3 linked regions of the Callithrix jacchus genome follow. The protein of the gene in region 2 interacts with the protein of the main gene of each other region in a biochemical or structural test. Links are inferred from orthologs where the notes say so. Each region holds a gene or a part of one and is shown on either strand. Other genes may lie near its edges.

Region 1 (3,306 bases), on a different chromosome or scaffold from region 2:
TGAACATTACTAGAGCCTAAGCTTTTTGTTTAATTACTCAAGTAAATAGGTAAGGAAAGGAATTCCCATTGATTGGGACCCTTATTTAACTTTCCCAGTGGTTATTTCTATTTGGTATTATTCTTCCAGAACTTGTTCCAGATGTTTACTCTCTGTGCAGTGATGTAAGCTAATGCTGCATAGACCTGTATAGCACTGAATATAACAATTCCCTTATTGTTGAAGATGTCAGTTGTTTCCATTTTTTCACTGTTACATTTTCAACTGAAAATAATGAAGGTAGACCTAAGAATTGGAGAAATGGAGCAAAGAACAGGAGAAACCAATCGAAAACTAAAAATACAAAGAATTGATGTGGGTTAATTCACATTTTATATATATCATTACAATGATCAGGAGAAAAATGGGCAAAAGATGTGGAGCAGTTCTCAGAGAAAATACAAATGGCCAGTAATATTTTTCATGGTCAGTTTTGGTAATAAAGTAGGGCAAACAATTCAGTTGGCTCCACAAAAGATGAAACATAAATTTCCCCCTCACTTTCCTATGATGGCATGTACTAAATTGTCACACCATTTAAGAACCTATAGGAAATAAGAGTTTAAAGGAACAAGTGTTACAGATGAGTTCTAGAGAGCCCTACGAAGCTGATTTAGAGAAAAGAAAGCCTCCACCTAAAGAGTAGCATGAGCTGGCTCTCTATTATAGGCAAATAAGTTACTCCTGACCTCAGGTGATCCACCCGCCTTAGCCTCCCAAAGTGCTGAGATTACAAGTGTGAGCCACCATGCCCAGCCCTGGAAATAAGAGTTTTAGAACATCTGATAGAAATAAACTCATGTGGAAATAAATTTTCCAAGATTAACTTTTTTTTTTTTTAAACAAAGATGCTCCCATAATACTCTCCGATAGTGAAGAAGAAGAAATGATCATTTTAGAACCAGACAAGAATCCAAAGAAAATAAGGTAACAAATTTCTGGTTTATTTCAAATGTATACATATACTGAACACTTCTAGAGGTTTGCTCTCTGGTTTTACTCTCATCTTGCCACACGACTATAAACAAAAAGACTTCCCTTTTTCATTAGATATCCATCTGTTCTGTGATTTACACCTTGTGACTTATAAAAACTCTTTGGATACCACTTTTACTCATAGCTGACACATTTTATATCCTATTAGAAAAATAAGAAATGCCTCTTATTTCAATAATCCAAAATTTAACAAGCATACTCTTAGTAAATTCTTACTTTATATTCACAGAACACAGACCATCAGTGTAAAACAGGAGAAAGCACCAAATAAAAAGCCAGTGAAAAGAAGAAAAAAGAAGAGAGCTGCCAATTAAAGCTAACAGTTGTATATTTGTATATAAGTATTAAAAGGGTATTTATTCCATTCTAACAATCCTGGGTATTTTTTATTCACAAATCCATTATAAAATCTAGCAGGATTTTTAAAAGTTTTTTGTTTTTAATGGTATGCTTTGAAATAAACCTTCTGGAGCATTTCTTGTCTGTTAATTTGCACATAAGCTTCCCACCTCTCTCCTGCTCCCAGCCTCTGTTGAGTTTACCTCACAAAACCTAATCAAGTTTTACAAAGAGCCAAAGTCTAGGGATCTCCACTCTACTGGTAAGTACAGATTTATTCCAGATATGCTTAGATTATGCTCAAGTCAGCAAATTAATCCAGTTGCTTAGGAATATGAATGTCAGAATTTGAGAGTCTGTTTTCCTAAAACTAATTTTAGAGGAAGGCTTTTCACTTTCCATTACAGTAAACCAAATTAACTTTTCTAAGTGAAATCCTGAAGAAGTTAAATTTGGCTTGCAAAGTTTTCCAAATCAATTTATTGTTATAATCCTGAGAGCTGGCATCATTAATACTTTAAGAAAACCACTTAAAATTAGCCAAATATCTAAGACAGATACATATACAAAAGATATACAAATTAAAACCATTTAAAAAGTAATGGATACCATAATTTGTACTTTGCCATAACTTCTGTATTCAGAAATGATTGTAAAAACCTAAATTAAAAACTATACACCATATACTTTGAGTGATTTACATCTTAGAAAGCAAAGGCAGTCTTTCATTGTTACAGATTTAGTGTCTCTGGTGGGTTGAGGAGAGAAACACCATGATACCTATAAATAGGGGAAAAAAACATTTTTAGTAAACATTCACTGGGTAAAGAAGATCATGGAATAATGTATGTGTTGGGAACTAAAAAATGCTATATCTGACCGAGTTGATGGTTTTAGAAACATTGTCTAATACCTGAAATACACATCCATGCCCCTTCCTTCTCCCTTCTCCCCTAGACCCAGGACAGAAAGCATTAACTACAACCTTCGAACACATAACCAGTTAAGAGAACAGATTCTCAAGGAGGCTATGGCAGATTCATGAATAAAGTTAGAATGTCAAAGATCTCTAAATTATAGTCTAGAAAAGTAGCTTCAATATCCAAGTTAATTCTTACTTTGAATGTTTGTACTTTTCTCTTATTGACTGTTGTGCATGCTGTGGTGCTTTGAGGTAGGTCTGATGAAGGTCCATGAGACAAGGCTTAAGACTTTCCAGGGTATATCCAGTCTTCTGGACTAATGATTCAGGCTACAGAGAAGGGAATAGAGAACCCCTGAGTTTTGCTTTTAGTAACACACCAAACAGAGTTAACAGTTGGCATTAAGTTTATGTTACATTCCAGTACTAATCTTTAACTCTTCCAACTAGTTTTCTCAGGCCACTATTCCATCTCTGAATCCATTTGTTGCTGCTTTCCCTGCCAGCAATAGATCAGAGACTTTTTAAAAAGCTCACCTTTCAATCCAAGTTACAACTAAGCTTTCCACCTGACAAACAGATGCTGTACAACAGGTAACATGCCTTAAACTGTATATAACCATCCCTCAGTATACACGATGGATTGCTTCTGGGACCTTCCCCGAATATACCAAAATCTCTATACCCTCAAGTCCTGCAGTCACCCTTCCATATATATGGGTTTTGAATTCCCTGAATACTGTATTTTCAATCCACATTTGACTGGAAAAAGGTTCATGTGTAAGTGGACTCACACAGTTCAAACCTGTATGAGTGTTTTTCAAGGGTCAACTGTATGTATTTGAAGTTTTTCCAAGTAAGAACATCCAGGCAACCCTCAGTTTTGTAGGACAATTACTTAATCTGGCACAGGCATTTGAATTACAAGGTAGGTGTGTGAAGACTGTGATACATACCCAGCTTTGTCCCGTGACTGTATAGAGTGCTAAATGAAAGGCGGCTCCAGCAAT
Region 2 (4,356 bases):
AGCAGTATCCTTAACTACTCTAGCTTCTTCTATCCTCAGTGGACCCTTCATGGTGCCTGGCAGGTTAATTTCCTAAATTTCAACTCTTGACATGTTCCTTGCATTCTCAGAACCACTCTCTCCACCATGCTTCCCTCTTTTTTTTTTTCTTCTTTTTTTTTTGAGGCTGAGTTTTGCTCTTGTCACCCAGGCTGGAATCCAATGGCATGGTCTCAGCTCACGGCAACCTCTGCCTCCTGGGTTCAAGCGATTCTCCTGCCTCAGCCTCCTGAGTGGCTGGGATTACAGGCATCTGCCACTATGCCCAGTTAATTTTTGTACTTTTAGTAGAGATGTGGTTTTACCACGTGGGCCAGGCTGGTCTCGAACTCCGAATCTCAGGTGATCCGCCCACCTCAGTCTCCCAAAGTGCTTGCAGGTGTCAGCCACCACGACCGGCCCATGCTTCCCTCTTGATGGAAGAGTCCATTCTTCTTACAGTAAGACATACAGGCCCATTACAATCTGGTCCCTGACTCTCCTCACCTCCTGTCACTCCCCTTCCTGAGTCCTGTGCGCCAGCAACTTCCAACTACTTACGAGTTTAGAACCACACAGAAAGCTTTACCTAGGCTGGTTCCTTTGTCTTATTACCTGGAGATCTCCTACCTAGATATCTTCAATACTCAGCTTAAGAGTCACTTCCTCTAAGAAGGCCGCCCGTGTGTTGCCACATATTCACCGAAACATTTAATAAACACACTGCATGGTAATTATCTGTCTTGCTCATAAATAGTTTACCTTCTTGCAAGAGGAAACAGACATGTCTTGCTCAATGTTTCCTCTTGCAAGAAGGTAAACTATAGCTTAATCAGCATTCACTAACAACCTGGAAAACGTTTTGGAACATTCGTTTTCTTCCCAAATAATACACATGCATTATTTGTTCACCCTTGTATCTCTAGAACCTAGCACAGGGCCTGGCATATAGTTAGAATTCAAGCTTTTGTTGCTTCAACGAGTCCTGAAAAGTTCTGCAGAAGCTTGAGCACTGTACTAGATACTTTATGTATCCACCTGGATGTGGCTAGAAGGGCACCCTAGTTACATACAGGAAAAAATTCATACACATAAAAACAACTGCCTTTGTGACACTCTGGCTGCCACTCACTTGACAATGGGATCCGACAGCCGCAGGCCTTCCAGGCTTAGATTCTGCAACTTGGAACACTGAGACAGAATGCCCTGGAGGGTGGACACTTCAATAACCGAGTTTGACAGGTCCATGTGCTGCACACGAAAAGGGCTAAACAGGGAGAGAAAAAAGGGTCTCCATAGGTGGCTCTCACAGGTACATTCAGATCAAATCAGACCCCTCCTGCTCCCCAAATGAGCAGCCAATCACCAACAAGACCCGAAATACACACTTCAAGCATTAACTATAGCTTTCGTCATAAAACAAATTGCTACTAGTGTATTCCCACTCTCATTCATTTTAAAATTCAAGGGGATTTTTTGCCAAGTACAGATGTTGCTGCCAATATAGTCCCACATAGGAAACAATGAGTGGGCATCACAACAAGGAGCTGGATGTGGGTGATAAGGAGAGATTAAGACTATAATGGCTCCTGGTTTCTGGCAAGGGTGAGTGGGTGAGCAGCGGTGGAACAGGGAAGACAGTGGAAGAGCAAGTTTTAAACGGAGGCCAGGCCAGGCACAGTGGCTCACGCTTGTAATCCCAGCACTTTGGGAGGCAGAGGCGGGTCGATCACAAGGTCAGGAGTTTGAGACCAGCCTGGCCAGCATGGTGAAACCCCATCTTGACTAAAAATACAAAAAAGTAGCCAGGAGTGTTGGAGGACACCCATAGTCCCAGCTACTAGAGAGGCTGAAACAGGAGAATTGCTTGAGCCCAGTAGGCGGAGGTTGCAGAGAGCCAAGATTGCGCCACTGCACTCCAGCCTGGGTGACAGAGTGAGACTCCGTCTTGCAGAAGGGGAGGGAAAGGAAGCCAAATTGGATTTTAGTTATGTTAATATTGAAGTACTTGTAAGAAATTCAGGTACAGAAGTTTTTAGGTAATTAGAAATTTGGGAGTTTGAAAGAGGGCCAAGCTATAGATGAGGAACTGAGAGTCCTGGGCATAAATGTGGGTGTATAGGACACAGCTTGTCCAAGGACAGCATTTGGATTTGAAAAAGGCGGCAGCCAGGAACCAACCCTGGAGTAAACAAAGGAAATCACACGTGTGAAGGAGATCGAGAAGGTACAGCCACAGGAGAATGGGATTAAAAAGCAGAGGGAAACGTGATTCTGACTATAGAAAGAAAGGAAAAAGTATTGAAGTCAAGAGACATGTTTTATCTTTAGCTCTGCAGTCCTCAGTTTGTTTTCTGTTCAGTACCTAGTTATTCTACTCAAGTATGTGATAGCAGTAACCTTAGTATTACAACATTACCAGTAACAGAAAATTCTTTTTCAAAATATTCTACAAAACGAACAAAAAGAGGGCAATGTTTTTTCAGGTTCCAAATTTCTCCCCAACAAAATCATAAACCCCAAGCTACAAATAAGAAAACACTCCTCATTTTTTTTTTTTTTATCAGAAATGGGTGGTGGGAAAATATCCGGGCAGCCTTGCATCTGCCAGTGAGTGCTTTACTTGTGCCTGCCCTGTGGGACTCACGGCCCCCATCAGTTGAGGACTTGAGAAGACAACTGTGCTTCTTTTACCCTAGGAAGAGATTAACAATAACCTCGAATGAAATGGGAACAGTGTCATTGAAATCTATGCTGTTTCAGCACAAAGTCCTCAAAGTATAGTATGCAATTAATATCCCACACTGCAAAGATAACCTATCATAGGCTATAAGGCTGAATTAAGAAAAAAAGCTTTGATCTGTTTCTACCTCAAAATTTAGAAATCATCTTTTCCAGAGATTTTTCATCTTTACCTGAAATGTTCAGCTAATGGTTGGTCCATAAATGATCGTGGGCAGCGGAAGGCAATCACCCCTTGAGACAGCAACCGACCAGTAACATCCGGGTGCAGATTTTTACCTGTGAGGTCTAAGGTTTGCCACAGAGACTCGTCAAACCTAGAAAAGAGGAGGTGCTTAATTTGGCCAGTCAGTCACACTAAATGCTGGAGACCCTCAACATTACTAATAAGGAGAGCACTGCTGTTAAATCCCCTTTACGCACATTCTGAAAGAACCTTTGTTTTTAAGTTGACTATACAATTAGTTATGATATTTTTGAGGTACTAGAAAATTTTTCTCGATCTCACCAAGGATAAGCTTCCATCTTTCTCTTTCTATATATACTTCCAATTTAGATGGTTCAATGTGAATATTAGCACTGCCATAATCTAGAACCAGAGAATAATATTCCAGCATTCAAGCTGATAAATTTAAGAAATGATTGCTCAAATCAATTAATTATTATATTACTAGGCAAGTAGATTAAAAACTTCTTAGAGGATTCTATTAGCCACTTTTGTTAAGCAATTACCACGACTACTGTAGTAACATGAAAATATTACTAAACAAAGGAAAGTTAGCGTTATTTTATTGTGAAATAAGGTTGTCATAGATAGCCAGTAGGAACAGCCATAGTTCAGCTGTGCCTTATAATATCTTTTAAGCTTAACTAATGTGAAAACAGAAAGGAAAAATACAACTTTTTGTTATATTTTTATAAAAGATTATATAAAAAATGGTGTTTCTAAAACAAAAAGGACATTCAAAAACTGTACTGAATAGCACAGTAAGAGAGTTTTAATATCTTGAATTCAATTTAAAAAAAGAAAATGTAAAATACAAGCACATGAAGGAACTTTTTAAATGTTTAAGTGTTCTAGAATCTTCTTTTTTAATAGTGCTCGAAATAAGAGGACCACTGGCCAGAGTTATGAAATAATTTCATCATAGAGAAATTGTCAGTGTGTGATTTGACCTTTATCATTAAAAAGGTGGACTGTAGATAAGATATCCTTAAGAGAGTAGCACACTTTTGTATCTTTCTTGCCCAGACAGAAATCCATTTTGGCCTCCAAGGTCAGCACTGATAGGCACCAGATCAGCACTGCTCTGGTTGTCTTGAATCTCATGCTTGATGTCTCCTCTTGCAAGAAGGCAAACTATAGGTTAACTAGCATTCAATAACAACCTAGGAAAAGTTTTGGAACATTCATTTTCTTCCTAAACAATATACATTTTTCAGGAAGATGAACACCTCACAGAAAAGTGAATTTGGGAGCTACCTGAACCCTAAGCCAAGCAAAACTAGATATGCTGTGATGGTTAAGACTGGAATTAGCCAGACTTTAGATTCCTGTCTTTCCACTTATGTATCAACCCACTATTCCTGACCCAG
Region 3 (5,060 bases), on a different chromosome or scaffold from region 2:
CCTAACGGGCACACGATTGATTGGGGGTTCAGGTGCCTGGTGAGTCCATGCTGAGCAAGCAGCCCAGCAGCCTTGGCCTCAGAGCGCTTGGGGGGTCACAAATGTGTAAGCCTCTTCAATAAGACCCTGGATCTAATGTCAAGAAAAAGGTCACTAGGGGAGGGTGAGGGGCAGGACTGAGACTTTAGCTTAAGAAGGGCCCTGGGGAACGTTCCAGAGCCTTCTTTTATGCACGTCTTCCTGAAGCTGAGCACAGAGAATACTCTGAAGTGATGACTGTTCCCTACCTGTCTCTCTCATTAGCTGGCAAGCTCTGCAAGGGCTTGGCTAGTGCCTGTCTTTCATTCAGAAACACAATTTAAGTGTCTCCTTTGGTCCAGGCACCCAAGAACTGAGGGTTACAGCAGTAAGCAAGATAGGCAAGGTGAGGAGAGAGAAGAAACAGACTGTGTAGGGGCTGGGCTCCCAGCACTTTGGGAGGCCAAGGCGGGAGGATCGCTTGAGATCAGGGGTTTGAGACCAGTCTGAGCAACATAGCGAGACCTTACCCCTTCCCTCTCCCCCGACCCAGAAAAAAATATAAGTCTTGAGGGAGGAAAGACAGAGGAGCTGTGGAGGGGAGGCCTGAGGTTTGAGGGCAGGGTCAGGGCCAGGTCCTGTGGAGCCTGTAGCCCAAGACAGGGAGTATGGATTTGATCCTTAGCTGATGGGAAACAATTGGAAGACGTTTTGTTTCTTTTTTTGTGTGTGGAAATGGGGTCTCGCTGTTACCCAAGCTGGTCTCAAACACCCCAAGGGGTCGGCGGTCTCGGCCTCCAAAAATGCTGGGATTCCAGGCGTGAGCCACGGTGCCTGGCCTCAACTGGAAGGCTTTAAGCTAGAGAAGCAAAAATGCTCGGGAATCCCAGGGTCAGAAAGGTCTTCAGAATGCCCCGGAAAAGCTTGCGGGGGAGGGGCGCGTATGATAGGGAGGAACGGAAGAAACTCACATATTAGTTGAATGAATGAATGAATGAATGAATGAACGACCGACCCAGTGCACTGAAGGATGAATGGACAGGAGGCCAAGAATAGCAGCTGATCCCCAGGGAGCCCCAGACCCCGCGGCCTGAAACCTTGGTTCTAGGCCCAGGCACAGGCGTGGTGACCTTGGGGATGTCCCCGCCCCGGACTCAGGGCCCGGAACCCGGCGTACCCGGGGCGGGGAAGGCGTGCCTAGTGGGACAGCGCGCGCGGCGGAAGAGCGGGCGGCGCTTCCCGGGCAGGCCCCCCACACATCCCTCGGCTCGGTCCTGTAGGGGCCCGAACCCGCGCCGCCTGCCGTGTTTACATTCCACCCGCGCCGGCCACGCGGCTTTTTGCCGCTCCAGAGCCACTTGGCCCCGCCCCCGGCGCCCGCGGCCCGCCCCTTGCCGCCGCGCGCCAGACTTCTCCCGCGTCCCGCCCGCCGCCCCGCCCCGCGTCCCGCGCCCCGCGCCCCGCGCCGCCCGGCCCTCGGCGCGCAGGCCCTGTCACTTGGCTCCGCCCCGTCGATCAGGCCCCGCCCCCGATTCCCCGTCCCTGCGCCTCGCTGGCCGGCGCCGCGGAGGGGCGGACCCGGGGGCGGGGAGAGGGACGGGGTGGGGCGGGCCCCGGGCCCGGCGCGGCCGCTGAGGGGCTGAGAGCTGCGGCGGGGCGGTGCGAGGGCGGGCCGGGGCCGGTTCCGCGCGCAGGGATTTTAAATGTCCCGCTCTGAGCCGGGCGCAGGAGCAGCCGGCGCGGCCGCCAGCGCGGTGTAGGGGGCAGGCGCGGATCCCGCCACCGCCGCGCGCTCGGCCCGCCGCCTCCCGCCGCCGCCGCCGCCGCCTGCCGGGGCTGGAGCGTGCTGCCCGTCGCGGACACGATCCTGGTGAGGCTCCAGCTGCGGGCTGCGGGCAGGGACTCCCGGGGCCCGGATCGCGCCGGGGATCTGGGTGGGGGCGGGGTGCGACCAGGTCGCGGGTCCCCGGGCGGCGGCGCGGGGCTCCCCAGGAGGGTGCTGGGAGCGCGGCGGAGAGGGGTGGAGGGGGACACTGAGGCAGCCCGGGCCCCGGGAGGCGACGGATGGGGAGGGGGCGGCGGGTCCCCTGGGTCGGGGGTCGGCAGGGGTGCGGGGCGCGGGCGGGTCGCGGGTGACAGGCCACCCCACCATCGGCCATCTTCCCGGCCCGCCCTGCCGCCCGCGAGCGAGGGGGGAGGGGTGCCGGGCCCGCGGCCTGACCCCGCTGCCGCCTCACCCCGCGCCGCCCCGCAGGCCTCAGGCCGGAGCAGTCCCACCATGCCGAGGGAGCGCAGGGAGCGGTGAGTGCCCGCGCCGCGGGGCTGGACGGGACAGGACGGGTGGCGTGGGGGAGGGGCAGCCACGGGTGCTCACCCGACCCGGTGCCACCCGGGTCCACAGGGATGCGAAGGAGCGGGACACCATGAAGGAGGACGGCGGCGCGGAGTTCTCGGCTCGCTCCAGGAAGAGGAAGGCAAACGTGGCCGTTGTGAGTACAAAGGAGACAGGTTGGGGAGCACTCCCCCATCTCACCTGGGTACCTGACTTGGCTCTGCCTGCGGGGCGGGGGTCCCTTGGGCAGGAACGGTGCTCATAACCTGATCAACTTTCTCTTCTATTCTCTCTCTATTTTTGTCTTGTTTGATGTGTCTCCTTGGGGCCGTGGGGGTGGCTTCATGTTAGTTTTTGCAGGATCCAGATGAAGAAATGGCCAAAATCGACAAGACAGCGAGGGACCAATGTGGAAGCCAGGTAGGTCGACCCGGGGTTGGGCCTCTGTGGAGGTCCTTCTGCTGTCTGTGAGTCACATGGCGTTTCATGTTTTCTTGTGTCCCGATGAAGACACGCTGGTGAGAATTAATTTCTCTAATACAGCCACAGCCCATATGGCCCAGCACTGTATGTGTCAGTGGGCACCAGCCTCTGCCAGTCCTGGGGTTCCAGGAGGCTTGGTGTTCCTGACTGGCACCATCTGAGATTACAGATATGTGCTGATGGCTGGAACAACCAGCGTGGACATCACATTGTTCACTCCTCCCTTCTGCCTGGGAGGAAACTGAGACTCAAGAAGAAATTAATCCAGAGTCCTGTGCCATCCAGGGGCAAAGTTGGGCGCTTGGCCTTGTCTGTAAAAGTTGGTGAATTGGGGAAGGGTTCCTGTGTGTTCATAAGCAACAGCACCCCCCCCCATTCTATATCTATTTTGTTTGTCGTGGTACTTAAGAACCTCCTCATCTTCTTTAGGTTAGGTTTCAAATTCTCCTCTTTCTGGCCCTGAAGTTCTTCTAGCCCCTCCAGCAATTACCTGCATTGATCCCCAGCTCAGCCTGACCTCAGCAGGAGTATCAGTGGACCATTCCATGTAATGATAGGTGGTGTCTCAAGATATTTCCTTGACGGCTTTTCTTTTCTCTCCTTATGGAATTCCTGCCGAATTTCCTGCCTGCAGGGTGATCATCATTGTAATATTAGAAGTTTCTTGCAGGAAAAGCTTGTACTATCTCTTTACTTTCAGAAATGACTGGAGACTGTAGCTATGGCAGGAGTAGGGGAAGCAGCCTATCTCTAAACTGGCTGGTCAGGCCTTCTGCCTCTATCACAGATAAATGCTGAACATTAACAGTGTTTGAGCTGAGAGCAGGAATCCCAGCTAGGTTAGCAGAGGAGCAGGTCACTTAGCACAACAGCAGCCAGGGGACGCATGTTTCAGGTGGGGACGCATGTTTCAAAGCAATGGGCTTGTGTTCACAGTAGCCATTGTCACTGCACATTAAGGCCCCCCCCCAAAATAAGCATTTCTGAGGAGGATTCAGTGAATATGGAAGGAAGAGTTGCTGATTTCAAAGAAGGCTTCCTTGGAAGAAGTCATTTCAGAAAAGGAAATGAGATGGCATATCCAAAGTTTTCTTTTTCTCCCCTTAAAAAAAAAAAGTATGTTCAAATCAAGCAAGTTGATTTTGTAGGTATTATAAAATGAATCCTGACTTTGTGAAATTCAGGATTGTTTATTTTCCCAGCTGTGTTTTGAATAGAAAAGAAACTTCCAACTGATGGTGAAGCAGGGCCGTCCCGGTTGCATTCTTGGAGTTTTAGAAGCGTGTCTGTTCTCAAGGATAGCCTGAGCGACGAGGGTGCCTGGGACGGACTGTGGCTCTGTGCCCTGGCCACAGAGCATGAATTGCTGTGCTACTGGAGTAGCCATATCATTTCCCACTAGAAGGCACTTTCGTGGTTATCCAGAGATGAATGGCAACAGATTTCTGTACATTTTGTAGAGTAGATAGCTTAAACATTAGCTGTCTATCTATGGAGCAGTATCTTTGTTATTTCTCTGTGAAGATTCATGAAACTAGAACTCTGGGGTACAACAGAACCTTTTCCCTGTTCACATACAGAAGTTTTCTCTGGAGTTATCATACTTCCCCCCCCAGTACAACAATCCTGAGCTACTCGGAGCCACAGTGCTAGACTCTTGTGAAAATGCTTCAAGACCACATTTCGATTTTCATCTTAGGCTGTTCTGAATGAAAAGAATACCCTTTTATCTGAGATCCGTTTAATTTTTTTGCATGAGACCCAATCTTTCCATTGAAGTGGAATCCTGTACTGTTACTTTTCAGAAAATAATCCTCATAAGGAAGAAAAGTAGTATGAGGAGTCAGAGTGGTTAGGAATCCCATTGGTCTGTTGCTGTTATCTAAATTCCTTCCTAAATAAAGTCAGACGGGTCTTGCTTTGAAACTTGGTGTACACTCAAGTAAAGGACATTCTCCCTCATCCGCTGGTCCCTAAAAAGGCCAACTTTGGAAACCATTCGTCTGCTCGTGGTTCACCTAGTTCGCTTGGGAACTGTTGCTGGACTTGTTTCTATCCAAAGGCTCGCTCTGAGATGTGTCAGCCATCTGGCCGTAGAGGGTGGCACCCAGCTTTATGCCTTCGAGACTAGAATTCATTCTTCCTGAATGAAGAACAACTTATACAGCGGTTGTAATGTGACCCTTTTTGAGTGAAGGAAATGCCACCCGCACATGGTACTAGAACT

What was found.
Region 1: the proteins of SKP2 (region 2) and CCNA2 are reported together in a solved structure, tested with the Homo sapiens proteins (2 studies listed by BioGRID, with this or other methods). The link is inferred for Callithrix jacchus from reciprocal best matches to the Homo sapiens genes SKP2 and CCNA2.
Region 3: the proteins of SKP2 (region 2) and CCNE1 form a complex in vitro, tested with the Homo sapiens proteins (2 studies listed by BioGRID, with this or other methods). The link is inferred for Callithrix jacchus from reciprocal best matches to the Homo sapiens genes SKP2 and CCNE1.

The regions. Positions count from the first base shown.
Region 1 is NC_133504.1:75,869,881-75,873,186, reverse strand, and holds the end of CCNA2 (cyclin-A2), read right to left. Parts: coding exon 3,253-3,306; intron 2,627-3,252; coding exon 2,493-2,626; intron 2,155-2,492; coding exon 2,106-2,154; 3' UTR 1,350-2,105; coding exon of another isoform or gene 1,265-1,349; 3' UTR 967-1,264; downstream 1-966. Other genes in the region: EXOSC9 (exosome complex component RRP45), read left to right, coding at 888-966, 1,265-1,349. UniProt on the Homo sapiens protein: Cyclin which controls both the G1/S and the G2/M transition phases of the cell cycle. Functions through the formation of specific serine/threonine protein kinase holoenzyme complexes with the cyclin-dependent protein kinases CDK1 or CDK2.
Region 2 is NC_133503.1:169,473,465-169,477,820, forward strand, and holds part of SKP2 (S-phase kinase-associated protein 2), read right to left. Parts: intron 3,078-4,356; coding exon 2,934-3,077; intron 1,286-2,933; coding exon 1,151-1,285; intron 1-1,150. UniProt on the Homo sapiens protein: Substrate recognition component of a SCF (SKP1-CUL1-F-box protein) E3 ubiquitin-protein ligase complex which mediates the ubiquitination and subsequent proteasomal degradation of target proteins involved in cell cycle progression, signal transduction and transcription.
Region 3 is NC_133523.1:26,996,911-27,001,970, forward strand, and holds the start of CCNE1 (G1/S-specific cyclin-E1), read left to right. Parts: upstream 1-1,744; 5' UTR 1,745-1,888; intron 1,889-2,272; 5' UTR 2,273-2,296; coding exon 2,297-2,319; intron 2,320-2,419; coding exon 2,420-2,507; intron 2,508-2,701; coding exon 2,702-2,770; intron 2,771-5,060. UniProt on the Homo sapiens protein: Essential for the control of the cell cycle at the G1/S (start) transition.